Linked DNA regions of Stegostoma tigrinum. The protein of the gene in region 1 interacts with the protein of each later gene in a biochemical or structural test. Links are inferred from orthologs where the notes say so. Each region holds a gene or a part of one and is shown on either strand. Other genes may lie near its edges.

Evidence for each region.
Region 2: the proteins of growth factor receptor-bound protein 2 (region 1) and tyrosine-protein kinase ITK/TSK-like form a complex in vitro, tested with the Homo sapiens proteins (2 studies listed by BioGRID). The link is inferred for Stegostoma tigrinum from reciprocal best matches to the Homo sapiens genes GRB2 and ITK.
Region 3: the proteins of growth factor receptor-bound protein 2 (region 1) and met form a complex in vitro, tested with the Homo sapiens proteins (3 studies listed by BioGRID and IntAct, with this or other methods). The link is inferred for Stegostoma tigrinum from reciprocal best matches to the Homo sapiens genes GRB2 and MET.

The regions. Positions count from the first base shown.
Region 1 is NC_081375.1:55,043,042-55,046,789, reverse strand, and holds the start of growth factor receptor-bound protein 2, read right to left. Parts: upstream 2,378-3,748; 5' UTR 2,252-2,377; coding exon 2,174-2,251; intron 1-2,173. UniProt on the Homo sapiens protein: Non-enzymatic adapter protein that plays a pivotal role in precisely regulated signaling cascades from cell surface receptors to cellular responses, including signaling transduction and gene expression.
Region 2 is NC_081366.1:12,417,886-12,421,633, forward strand, and holds the start of tyrosine-protein kinase ITK/TSK-like, read left to right. Parts: upstream 1-771; 5' UTR 772-849; coding exon 850-987; intron 988-3,748. UniProt on the Homo sapiens protein: Tyrosine kinase that plays an essential role in regulation of the adaptive immune response. Regulates the development, function and differentiation of conventional T-cells and nonconventional NKT-cells.
Region 3 is NC_081371.1:34,235,840-34,239,587, forward strand, and holds the start of met (hepatocyte growth factor receptor), read left to right. Parts: upstream 1-1,604; 5' UTR 1,605-2,013; intron 2,014-3,748. UniProt on the Homo sapiens protein: Receptor tyrosine kinase that transduces signals from the extracellular matrix into the cytoplasm by binding to hepatocyte growth factor/HGF ligand. Regulates many physiological processes including proliferation, scattering, morphogenesis and survival.

The DNA.
Region 1 (3,748 bases):
CTCCTTCTCTCTCTCTCCCTCCCTCCCCCGATCCCCCATCTCCTTCTCTCTCTCTCTCCCTCCCTCCCCCGATCCCCCCTCTCCTTCTCTCTCTCTCTCCCTCCCTCCCCCGATCCCCCCTCTCCTTCTCTCTCTCTCTCCCTCCCTCCCCCGATCCCCCCTCTCCTCCTCTCTCTGCCTCCCTCCCCCGATCCCCCCTCTCCTTCTCTCTCTCCCTCCCTCCCCCGATCCCCCCTCTCCTTCTCTCTCTCCCTCCCTCCCCCGATCCCCCCTCACCTTCTCTCTCTCTCTCCCTCCCTCCCCCGATCCCCCCTCTCCTTCTCTCTCTCCCTCCCTCCCCCGATCCCCCCTCTCCTTCTCTCTCTCTCTCCCTCCCTCCCCCGATCCCCCCTCTCCTTCTCTCTCTCCCTCCCTCCCCCGATCCCCCCTCTCCTTCTCTCTCTCTCTCCCTCCCTCCCCCGATCCCCCCTCTCCTCCTCTCTCTGCCTCCCTCCCCCGATCCCCCCTCTCCTTCTCTCTCTCCCTCCCCCGATCCCCCCTCTCCTCCTCTCTCTCCCTCCCTCCCCCGATCCCCCCTCTCCTCCTCTCTCTCCCTCCCTTGATCCCCCTCTCCTTCTCTCTCTCCCTCCCTCCCGCGATCCCCCCCTCTCCTTCTCTCTCTCCCTCCCCCGATCCCCCCTCTCCTTCTCTCTCTCAATCCCTCCCCCGATCCCCCTTCTCCCTCCCTCCCCCGATCCCCCTTCTCCTTCTCTCTCTCCCTCCCTCGATCCCCCCTCTCCTTCTCTCTCTCCCTCGATCCCCTCTCTCCTTCTCTCTCTCCCTCCCTCCCCCGATCCCCCCTCTCCTCCTCTCTCTCCCTCCCTCCCCCGATCCCCCCTCTCCTCCTCTCTCTCTCTCCCTCCCCCGATCCCCCCTCTCCTCCTCTCTCTCTCTCCCTCCCTCCCCCGATCCCCCCTCTCCTCCTCTCTCTCTCTCCCTCCCTCCCCCGATCCCCCCTCTCCTCCTCTCTCTCTCTCCCTCCCTCCCCCGATCCCCCCTCTCCTCCTCTCTCTCTCTCCCTCCCTCCCCCGATCCCCCCTCTCCTCCTCTCTCTCTCTCCCTCCCTCCCCCGATCCCCCCTCTCCTCCTCTCTCTCTCTCCCTCCCTCCCCCGATCCCCCCTCTCCTCCTCTCTCTCCCTCCCTCCCCCGATCCCCCCTCTCCTCCTCTCTCTCTCTCCCTCCCTCCCCCGATCCCCCCTCTCCTCCTCTCTCTCTCTCCCTCCCTCCCCCGATCCCCCCTCTCCTCCTCTCTCTCTCTCCCTCCCTCCCCCGATCCCCCCTCTCCTCCTCTCTCTCTCTCCCTCCCTCCCCCGATCCCCCCTCTCCTCCTCTCTCTCTCTCCCTCCCTCCCCCGATCCCCCCTCTCCTCCTCTCTCTCTCTCCCTCCCTCCCCCGATCCCCCCTCTCCTCCTCTCTCTCTCTCCCTCCCTCCCCCGATCCCCCCTCTCCTCCTCTCTCTCTCTCCCTCCCTCCCCCGATCCCCCCTCTCCTCCTCTCTCTCCCTCCCTCCCCCGATCCCCCCTCTCCTCCTCTCTCTCTCTCCCTCCCTCCCCCGATCCCCCCTCTCCTCCTCTCTCTCTCTCCCTCCCTCCCCCGATCCCCCCTCTCCTCCTCTCTCTCTCTCCCTCGATCCCCTCTCTCCTTCTCTCTCTCCCTCCCTCCCTCCCCCGATCCCCCCTCTCCTCCTCTCTCTCCCTCCCTCCCCCGATCCCCCCTCTCCTCCTCTCTCTCCCTCGATCCCCTCTCTCCTTCTCTCTCTCCCTCCCTCCCTCGATCCCCCTCTCCTTCTCTCTCTCCCTCCCTCCCTCCCTCGATCCCCCTCTCCTCCCTGCCCCGGTCACACTCTCTTTTCTACCTCCCCGTGTTGTCTTCTTTTACCCCGTCATGCATCTTTCTCTTTCAACCAGCTCTCTTCACCTTCGCCCCCCACTCCCCCCCCCCCCCAACGACTCGCTCTCTCACTCTCTCCCTCTCCTCTCTCCCTCTCCTCCCTCTCCCCCTCCCTCTCCTCCCTCTCCCCCTCCCTCTCCTCCCTCTCCCCCTCCCTCTCCTCTTCCATAGTCTCGCTCCGTGACGCTTCCTCCTCCGCTCCTGAATCCGGCTTTAGCCGCGATCTCATCGCGGCGGCCTCACCTTCAGTATATCTTCCCTCTTAAAGCTTAGCTCATCGTCTGCTGTGGCCTTGAAGTCGTACTTGGCGATAGCCTCCATGTCAGCGCGACGTTGGCCTTGCTCTGACTTTCAGTCTGGGGCTGGGCCTGTCCGTCGCCAGCGTGTGGCTGTCGCCTAGGCCCGGGACCACTGCGCGTGCGCACTGCGACAGGCCGCTCCCGCATACTGCGCCTGCGCACGCACTGGGCGTTCCGTGTCCGAGGCACGTACCGGAATAGCGTCAGCCAGGCTCAGCGTGATGCTCCTGGACCGGAAACGAGCGTTGACCTCGCCTTCGTCATCTTGTGCTTAGTGTCATTTGACCTTTGGTTTTCTGTCTTGAGTTGGAGCATAAACTTGAGTATCTCTGGGTGTTTTCAGTTCTCATTCTTCTCCTGACCTGCGCTTTCGAATGTCTAATTCCTGTGAAATGCACCTCGTGTTGGTAAACTTCAATGGTCCTCGCTCTTTGACCATTCCTTTGGAAGACATTGTGAGCTTGCTTATTGGCACCACATTGTTGGTGCTGGTGGAGGAGTACTGTTAAGTTACTGGTAGGCTCTGTATTGCTGTTATGATTCTCCATCTCCTGAAAAGGAAGAAAGGAAATTCGTGTCAGTAGTCTGAAAATTTCTCTGCTGTGCACCTCTGTCAAGATGGAGAGTGTATCAGTATTTCACAATCTGTTCTTCACCCTCTTCCACGCTTGTTCCTCATGATCCCATGCAGCATTGGTACACATCATTATTAATCATCGATGCCCTCATTGTTTTGTCAAGTAATTGAATTTTTAACTCTTCCACTCTGCCTTGTTCATCAACACCACTTTGCTGAGCATTCTCCTAAGTAAAAATCGGAGCGGCTCTTTTAAGATTCGTGGCCTCACTATCTACTGTGAGCTGAAGAAGAAAGCCCACATTTGGTACCCACTGGTACTGCTGACTGTGAGAGGTTGTTTCTTTTAAGCTCTCAACGGATCTTAATTTGAAAGAGGTACCTTAGATATTGAAGTAGTCCATATCAAAATGTAGCAAGATCTGGATAACACAAAATATTGGTTGATAAACATTCACACTATACAACTGCAAGGCAATAAGCAATTTAAAAGAGAGAATGTAACAATCATCCAATGAGAGTCATTGGCATCAACGTCACTAAATACCCCAATATCAACATCGTAGGGGTTCCATTGAGCAGAAGGTGAACTGGACTAGCTATATGTGGCTATAGGAACAGCTCAGAGGCTAGGAAACCTGTGGTGAATAACTTACACCCTAACTTCTTAAAGCCTATTGAGTATCTGGAAGGTAAGTCAGGAATGTAATAGAATACAGACACATGCTGTCCCTTTCTCTCTCTTTCCCTCACATACAAATCTATGGGGTGAATTTGCTTTGTAACTCTATTTTGTTCAAATAGCTCACACGTTTGTAGGTAGTCAATGTGGCCTTTTATAAATTCTTACTTTGGAAATAAAATCAGTCCAATTTGATACACAGCCAGATTCTAAATGAGGCCTCTCATGTAAAATGCATTGTCTACCCTTGGATGCCACCT
Region 2 (3,748 bases), on another chromosome or scaffold:
GATGTTTAATGCTGTGGAACAGAAGAGACTGAGGAAAGGGCAGGAAGAGTGATGAGAGATATTGCCATACCAGTGGATGGTTCAGCTATCACCATCACCCCCTCAGTTTGCCTCACCATCATTCCATCAGTACTGACCCTCTGACAGTGCAGCACTCCCTCAGTACTGACCCTCTGACAGTGCAGCACTCCCTCAGTACTGACCCTCTGACAGTGCGGCACTCCCTCAGTACTGACCCTCTGACAGTGCAGCACTCCCTCAGTACTGACCCTCTGGCAGTGCGGCACTCCCTCAGTACTGACAATGCAGCACTCCATCCATATTGACTGTCTGACAGTGTGTGGCACTCATGTCGGTGTAAAAGAATCTCTGCCTTTGTTTGCTGAGGATGAGAAAGTTTCTCCCTTTGATCACTCATTGACCCCCCCCCCCACCTCTCCACCCGGTTGAAATATTCAGCCCTTGGTCACATTGTCAGAATCCCTGATCACTTCTGAAGTTCTAAAGAATGTGTTGCCGGCATGATTTTTCCTCTGATCGGTTCAAAGCATTTCTCTCTATGTTAACGGGTGGCAGCAATTGGCCTGCATATAAGTTGGCGCGATATGGTTTGGGTTTTTCTCGTTTCTGCTCACAGGATTTGCAAAGGCAGATAGAAAGGAAGTGGTTTCACATTCTACCTTCATCCGAGTCTGAAGCCTGCGTGGTGCTTTTTCCTGACAGTTTCTCAGTTATCAGCATCTGTGCACCTACGCTGTGCCTAATGCTGTGACCTGCACACAACCTTCCGATCAGCTTCACCTCCCCACCACCACCTCCTCTCGATGGGGAGTGTTACCCGCCGAAAGGATGAATCCCCCTTCCATCCTTGAGGAATTTCTCATCAAGCGCTCACAGCAAAAACGAAGGACTTCACCCTCCAACTACAAAGATCGATATTTCATTCTGACCAAATCCAGGCTGGCTTACTACGAGTGCCGTACAGGGGTATGTGTCTCTACTTGTTCGCTTAATCCATCTCGCCAACAGCCTCACATCAATCTCACCCCTTCCATTGGCTGTGGCCAGATGTCAGCGTCTGCCCAGCACAGTTCTCCTTCCAAAAGGCTGCCTTCCTTCACAGTGTCCTGCCTATTGCTAAGGATTTTTCTGGCCTTGCTTTCTCCTGTGTAGCTTCTGTCACCTCTCTGTGCCAGTGGCCCTGTTGAGCGTCTGAGGCTCAGTGCCATCTTTGTCAGAACACAATTAGTTTCTCTCCATTTCACAGTGGTGATCAGCGAGTGAGTGTGAATGAGCGTGAGACTGAGTGAACTTTCTGGTTTGAAGTTCAGTCTTGTTCTTGGTTGCCAGAGTGTCAATGCTTGTACAGCGAGTCGGTGTGTTAAGCTTTAGTGCGTGTTCACAGTGGGCTGTGGTTCATTATTTTTAACTGTTACTCTACTCTCAACCGTCCTGTTTGTCTGCCCAGCCAGCTCCAGGAATGTGTTCACCTCATAATGACATGTTGTTCTGGGTTAGGTTTTATATCATTTCATTTTTTCCTTCATGGGATGACTGTATTGCTGGCTAGGCCAACGTTTATTGCCCATCTCGAATTGTCCAGAGGTCAGAGATAATGGGAACTGCAGATGCTAGAGAATCCGGGATAACAAAGTGTGGAGCTGGATGAGCACAGCAGGACAAGTGCATTAAGAGTCGATCCCTTTGCTGTGGGTGTGGAGTTATATGTAGTCCAGGCCAGGTAACGGTGGCAGTTTCCTTCCCTAAAGGTCATTGGTCAACCAGATGGATTTTTTCTGACAATCAGCAATGGATTGATGGTCATCATTAGTCACTTCATTCCACTTTCTTTTAAATTAAATTCAAATTTCGCCATCTGCGATGGTGGGATTCAAACTCAGGTCCCCAGAGTATTCCCTGGTCTCTGGATTAACAGTGTAGTGATGATATGCCAAGGCCACGTCCTTCCTGATATAGTCCAACACCAAAAACTTCAGCTCACCCAAAATTGTGAATCATAACCAGCACCAAGTCCAGTCCTTCTGACACCCACAGGGGCTCCTGATTCAATGAAACTTCAGTTTTAAAGGCCTCATCCGCATTTTCAAATTCCTCTGTGTCACCTTGCCCCCTCCCTTTTGTTGTAATCTCCTCAAACGGCTCACACATGTAAGAGCTCTTCCAACTCGGGCCTTTAATACATTCTCAATTTACACCAAGCCAACATCAATGGTATTGTGAAAACTCAAAGCCTTAAGCTCTGAAGTTCACTCCCTCACACCATCTCCCTCTCTACCCTTTCAGATGTTGCTTAAAACCTCCATATATGACCAATATTTCTACATCACACCTTACGAGATGTGGGTATCCACTGGCAAGGCCAACGTTTATTGTATATCCTTGAGTGCCCTTGAAAAAGTGGTGGTGAGCTGCCTTGTTGAACTGCCACAGTTAACCTCATGTTGGGGCACTCACAATGCTCTTAATGGAGGCAGTTCCAGGATTTTAACCCAGCAACAGTGAAGGAACATTGATTACGTTGCAGATCGGGATGGTGAGTGACTTGGAGGTGAATTTATAGGAGCTGGTGTTCCCCTGTACCTGCCGCCCTTGTCTGTCTAGTTGGCAGAAGTTGCAGATTTTTTCCCTGTGTTGGAGAAAGAGCTTTTGCAAATTGCTACAGTACATCTAGTGCATGTTATAAATAGTACACTTTGCTGTGACTACATGTTGGTGGTATAGGGTGTGGATAGTGAAGATGCAGGGTGTGATGCCAATCAAGCAGGTTGCTTTGTCCTGGATGGTGTCAAGATTCTTGAATGTTATTAGAGCAGCACCCATTCCGGCAAATGGAGAGCATTCCATACACTCCTGACCTGTCCCTCGTCGATAGTGGACAGGCTTTGGGAAGTTGAGAGGTGAGCTACTCATTACAAAATTCCCAACTTCTGTCTCATCCCCATAGTCATAGTATTTACATGGCTGGTCTAGTTCAGTTTCTTGTCAATGGTGTCCCTCAGAATATTGACAGTGGGTGACTCAGTGATTGAAATATTATTGAACATTAAGAGGCAATGGTTGGATTATTGCTTGTTGGACATGGCTGTCGTCTGACATTTATGTGGTGCAAACATTACATGCCACTTGTCACCGCAAGCCTGGATATTGTCCAGATCTTGTTGCCTTTGGACATGAACTGTTTCAGTATCCTAGGAGATGCAAGTGACACTGAACATTACACAATCATCAGCAGACAGCCCCGCTTCCACTTTAAGATGGAGGGATGAAAGACGGTTGTGCTTAGGGCACTCGAGGTTCTTGAATTCACTGTCCAACAAAGTAGACTTGTGTTTTCAGAGACTGTGAATATTGCATCAGGTTGTATCCATTGTGGGTGTGCAAGGATGTGACCAGGGCCAAAATTCTGGAGCAAGATTTGAGAGGTTCTATGCACATAGGCGTTGTGTAGTGTGTGTGTTTGTCAGCCTGTGTGTGTTTGAATGACTTTGAGTGTTGCCTGCATGCGTGATTTTGTGTATGTTTTGTCTGTGTGCATGTTTGTGAGAAGCATGTTATTTAATGTCTATGCATTAATGTCAGCCTGTGAGTGAACGTGGTTGTGTGCACGTGGATGTATATGTGAGTGTGTGTGTGTGACACTGTGAATGTGTGTATGTGAGAGAGAGAGACTGTGAATGTGTGTGCATACACGTGTGTGTGTGTGTGTGTGTGTGTGTGTGTGTGTGTG
Region 3 (3,748 bases), on another chromosome or scaffold:
CTATTTTGCCACCAACAAACCTTGCAAACTCAAACACACCAACCTGAAAGTGGTGAGGGGGAATTCCTGTTCCAGGTTGCTGTGCAACAGGGAAACTCCTATGACATTACACAAAAGGAGGTATATTGGGCTTTGCAGATGGTTATGAAAATCAGTTCTGCCTCAATTGTTTTGCCATCATCTCATCCCTAAATGTCATTTGCTGCATCAGGCAGCTTGCCATTCTGCAAGAGTGCTAACCCAGTAACTGCTTCTTAGGAGCACAACAGCTGACGTTTCAGGATAACAAAGTGTGAAGCTGGATGAACACAGCAGGCCAAGCAACATCTCAGGAGCACAAAAGCTGATGTTTCAGGTCTAGCCCTTCATCAGCGAGCTCTCTGATGAAGGGTCTAGGCCCGAAACGTCAGCTTTTGTGCTCCTGAGATGCTGCTTGGCCTGCTGTGTTCATCCAGCTTCACACTTTATTATCTCGGATTCTCCAGCATCTGCAGTTCCCATTATCAGCTGACGTTTCAGGCCTAGACCATTCATCTAGGCCCGAAACGTCAGCTTTTGTGCTCCTAAGATGCTGCTTGGCCTGCTGTGTTCATCCAGCTCCACACTTTGTGATCTCGGATTCTCCAGCATCTGCAGTCCCTATTATCTCTAACCCAGTAACTGCAACCAGTTGCATGGTCAGCACTTCCATCTATTATCACACAGAGTAACAATTGTAGAATGGTACATCTGCTAAATCCCACCCAACTACATGGTTTCACCATGTGCAGGTGATCTCTTTAGAAGATTCTTATACTCGCTCAATGTTAACTCCCTGAAAATGGCTTTCTGTTTTCTCCAGGTCATCTGAAGTATATTGAATGTTCGTAAACTGCTAGATTAATACATTATGCAGCACAGTTCTGGACCTAGGCATTGCTAACAGAGGTTCTATCATGTCTGCAATAGTAATGGAGAACATGTGCTATGATGTTCTTTCCAAGAGGTATCAAGCTGAATGTAGCCTCATTAAGGTCAGGCTATATACCACAGACCTGATGATCAGATTGTATTCTGGGAATCTGATTTAGGAGTCAGGTTAGAATCATAGAAGCCCGACAGCACACATGGAGGCCATTCGGCCCACTGAATCTGCACCCTCCCTCCAGCAGCTTCCCACCCAAACCTACCCACCCGTGTAACCTCAAATTTACCTTGGACAATCCACCTAAACTGCACATGATGAACATGCTACAGTCAACCATGGCTGGAATGAAACCGACACTGACAGGCACTGAGACGGCAGTGCTAACCACCGAGCCATCATGTAAGCCATTGAATCTAATTGTGAAACATTAGGCTGGATACATCATATCTAATCGTATACAGGAAGATATTGTGAGGTAATCCTGTACATGGTGGTTCTGATCCGATGAAATCTGGCGGCAGACCTCTGATCTGGTGATACAGTTTGGTTCACCCGACATACGGATGCTCAGCACAATAAGAGTCGGTGTGTGATCTGTGAGAAGTGTGTGTGTGATCTGGGGAGGACGTGGTGCAGAGCCGTACACCTTGTTATAAGTCAAACTCGTGGGGGCGGAGTTGAAACCGCCCAGAGTTTATCAGCGGCTGCGTCAGGAGTTAGAAACAGGTTACTCACCCTGAAACTGTCCGTCTGACATTCCCACTTTGCTTTCACAAAGGACCTTTCGATTTTGTTTTGTCATCCGCGCTAGCGAGCGGATAGGGGGCCTGGGTCACCTGTGCAGCAAGGGCCGGCTCCGAGCTGCTCGCCAGGACTGGAGCGCTGAGAATTCATCAAAATCAGAGCGAGTGGTCACCTCGGACCAGAGCAGAGCGGGCAGGCTGCAGCATTTAACGCTTTTTGAAAGAGCAGGATTTATTGAGTGAAATGTGTTGAAGAGGAGGGGAATGTGACGCCTGCAGTGGAATGATTTCGTGAAGCACTTGCCTGGGCTCTGAGAAGGACAGTTGCAAGTTGATCCTGAATTTACTTTGGTGCACAGTCAGGTATGTCCGGCTTTTATTCAATATCCATTTTGCGCCTTCTTGCTTAGTATCGATCAATTTGTAATTTATAACTGAATACTTGCCAGCGTGTGTTTGTTTGATTTTTAGATACACGGATACAAGTGAGATTCCCTTCTTTTGTTCTTTTCTTACTCTCTAAATTTTAAATGTCCTGCAGATATTATCTTATTTTGCATCAACTGTTCCAACTGAAGAATCGGTTGCGGTGGAATGAGATCATGTGCACACCATGATCCAGAATGATTCATCTTCCTGTGTGTATTATGTGGGGAATAAGGAAAGTGTTAAAAAAAAACTTTTATACCGTGGAGATTTGAGGCAGGTCAAAAGGATCCCCAGATTAACTTTATTTCCCTATTTATACAGGATAATCCCCCAGAAGAAAAATCATTGTACTTGATGTGTTTGGGATTAATGGTTTTAATTAATCTTTAAATACTATGTTAGTTCCGAGAAGTATTAGCAGCCGTGCGTGGGGGCGTGGTGGGGGGGTAACTGACATTCCCAGCGCATCTCACACGGAGCACTCAAACAATTATCAGGATCACAGTAATGCGGAGCACTCGGGGATTAATTTATCGGTTTCACTGCGCGCAAAAGCATTTAAGCAGTAAAGCATACCTTTATGTGTAGGGCTGATCTGATCGAATTACAGCATTAGCCTCGAAACCTTGGCTCTTGACAACTGTGCTGGCATTTCTGAACTGAGGTGAGCGAAGTGAGTCACTGAACCAACGAAATGGGCATTCCAGGTCAAGTAAAGCAAACCTCTCTTGAACAAAAACAAAGTTGCTGGAAAAGGCTCAGCAAGTCTGGCAGCATCTGTGGAGGAGAACACAGAGTGAGCGTTTCGGGTCCGGTGACCCTCAGAACGGAAGCAAACCTCTCTACTTGTGTGAATTTTGCAGTGGTTTAGATGAACATTCTTTTAGGCAGTGGTTTTAAACCACTGATTAACCAAAAACAAATCAGTATTCAATGGGAAGGTAACAACAGATTCTCTGTAATCTGTCTGACTCAATGGTGTGATGCATTTAAGAGTAGTGTGGTCCTTTTGCTCACTGGCAGCACAGATCTGGTTGTTCATTATTGTTAGCAAGACTACTTAGTAGTGATAACCATATGCATGACGAGATTCAGCAAAGACCTGGAGATTAGCCAGCCAAACACACCAGAATGTGCTGATTTGATGCCTTGACTTTTCTGAAGTAGTTGTTCTCACCCAGATGGTATTTAGCCATCGATACAAGCTAACAAAATGTGAGGCTGGATGAACACAGCAGGCCAAGCAGCATCTCAGGAGCACAAAAGCTGACGTTTCGGGCCTAGACCCTTCATCAGAGAGGGGGATGGGGAGAGGGAACTGGAATAAATAGGGAGAGAGGGGGAGGCGGACCAAAGATGGAGAGTAAAGAAGATAGGTGGAGAGAGTATAGGTGGGGAGGTAGGGAGGGGATAGGTCAGTCCAGGGAAGACGGACAGGTCAAGGAGGTGGGATGAGGTTAGTAGGTAGATGGGGGTGCAGCTTGGGCTGGGAGGAAGGGATGGGTGAGAGGAAGAACCGGTTAGGGAGACAGAGACAGGTTGGACTGGTTTTGGGATGCAGTGGGTGGGGGCGAAGAGCTGGGCTGGTTATGTGGTGCAGTGGGGGGAGGGGACGAACTAGGCTGGTTTAGGGATGCAGTAGGGGAAGGGGAGATTTTGAAACTGGTGA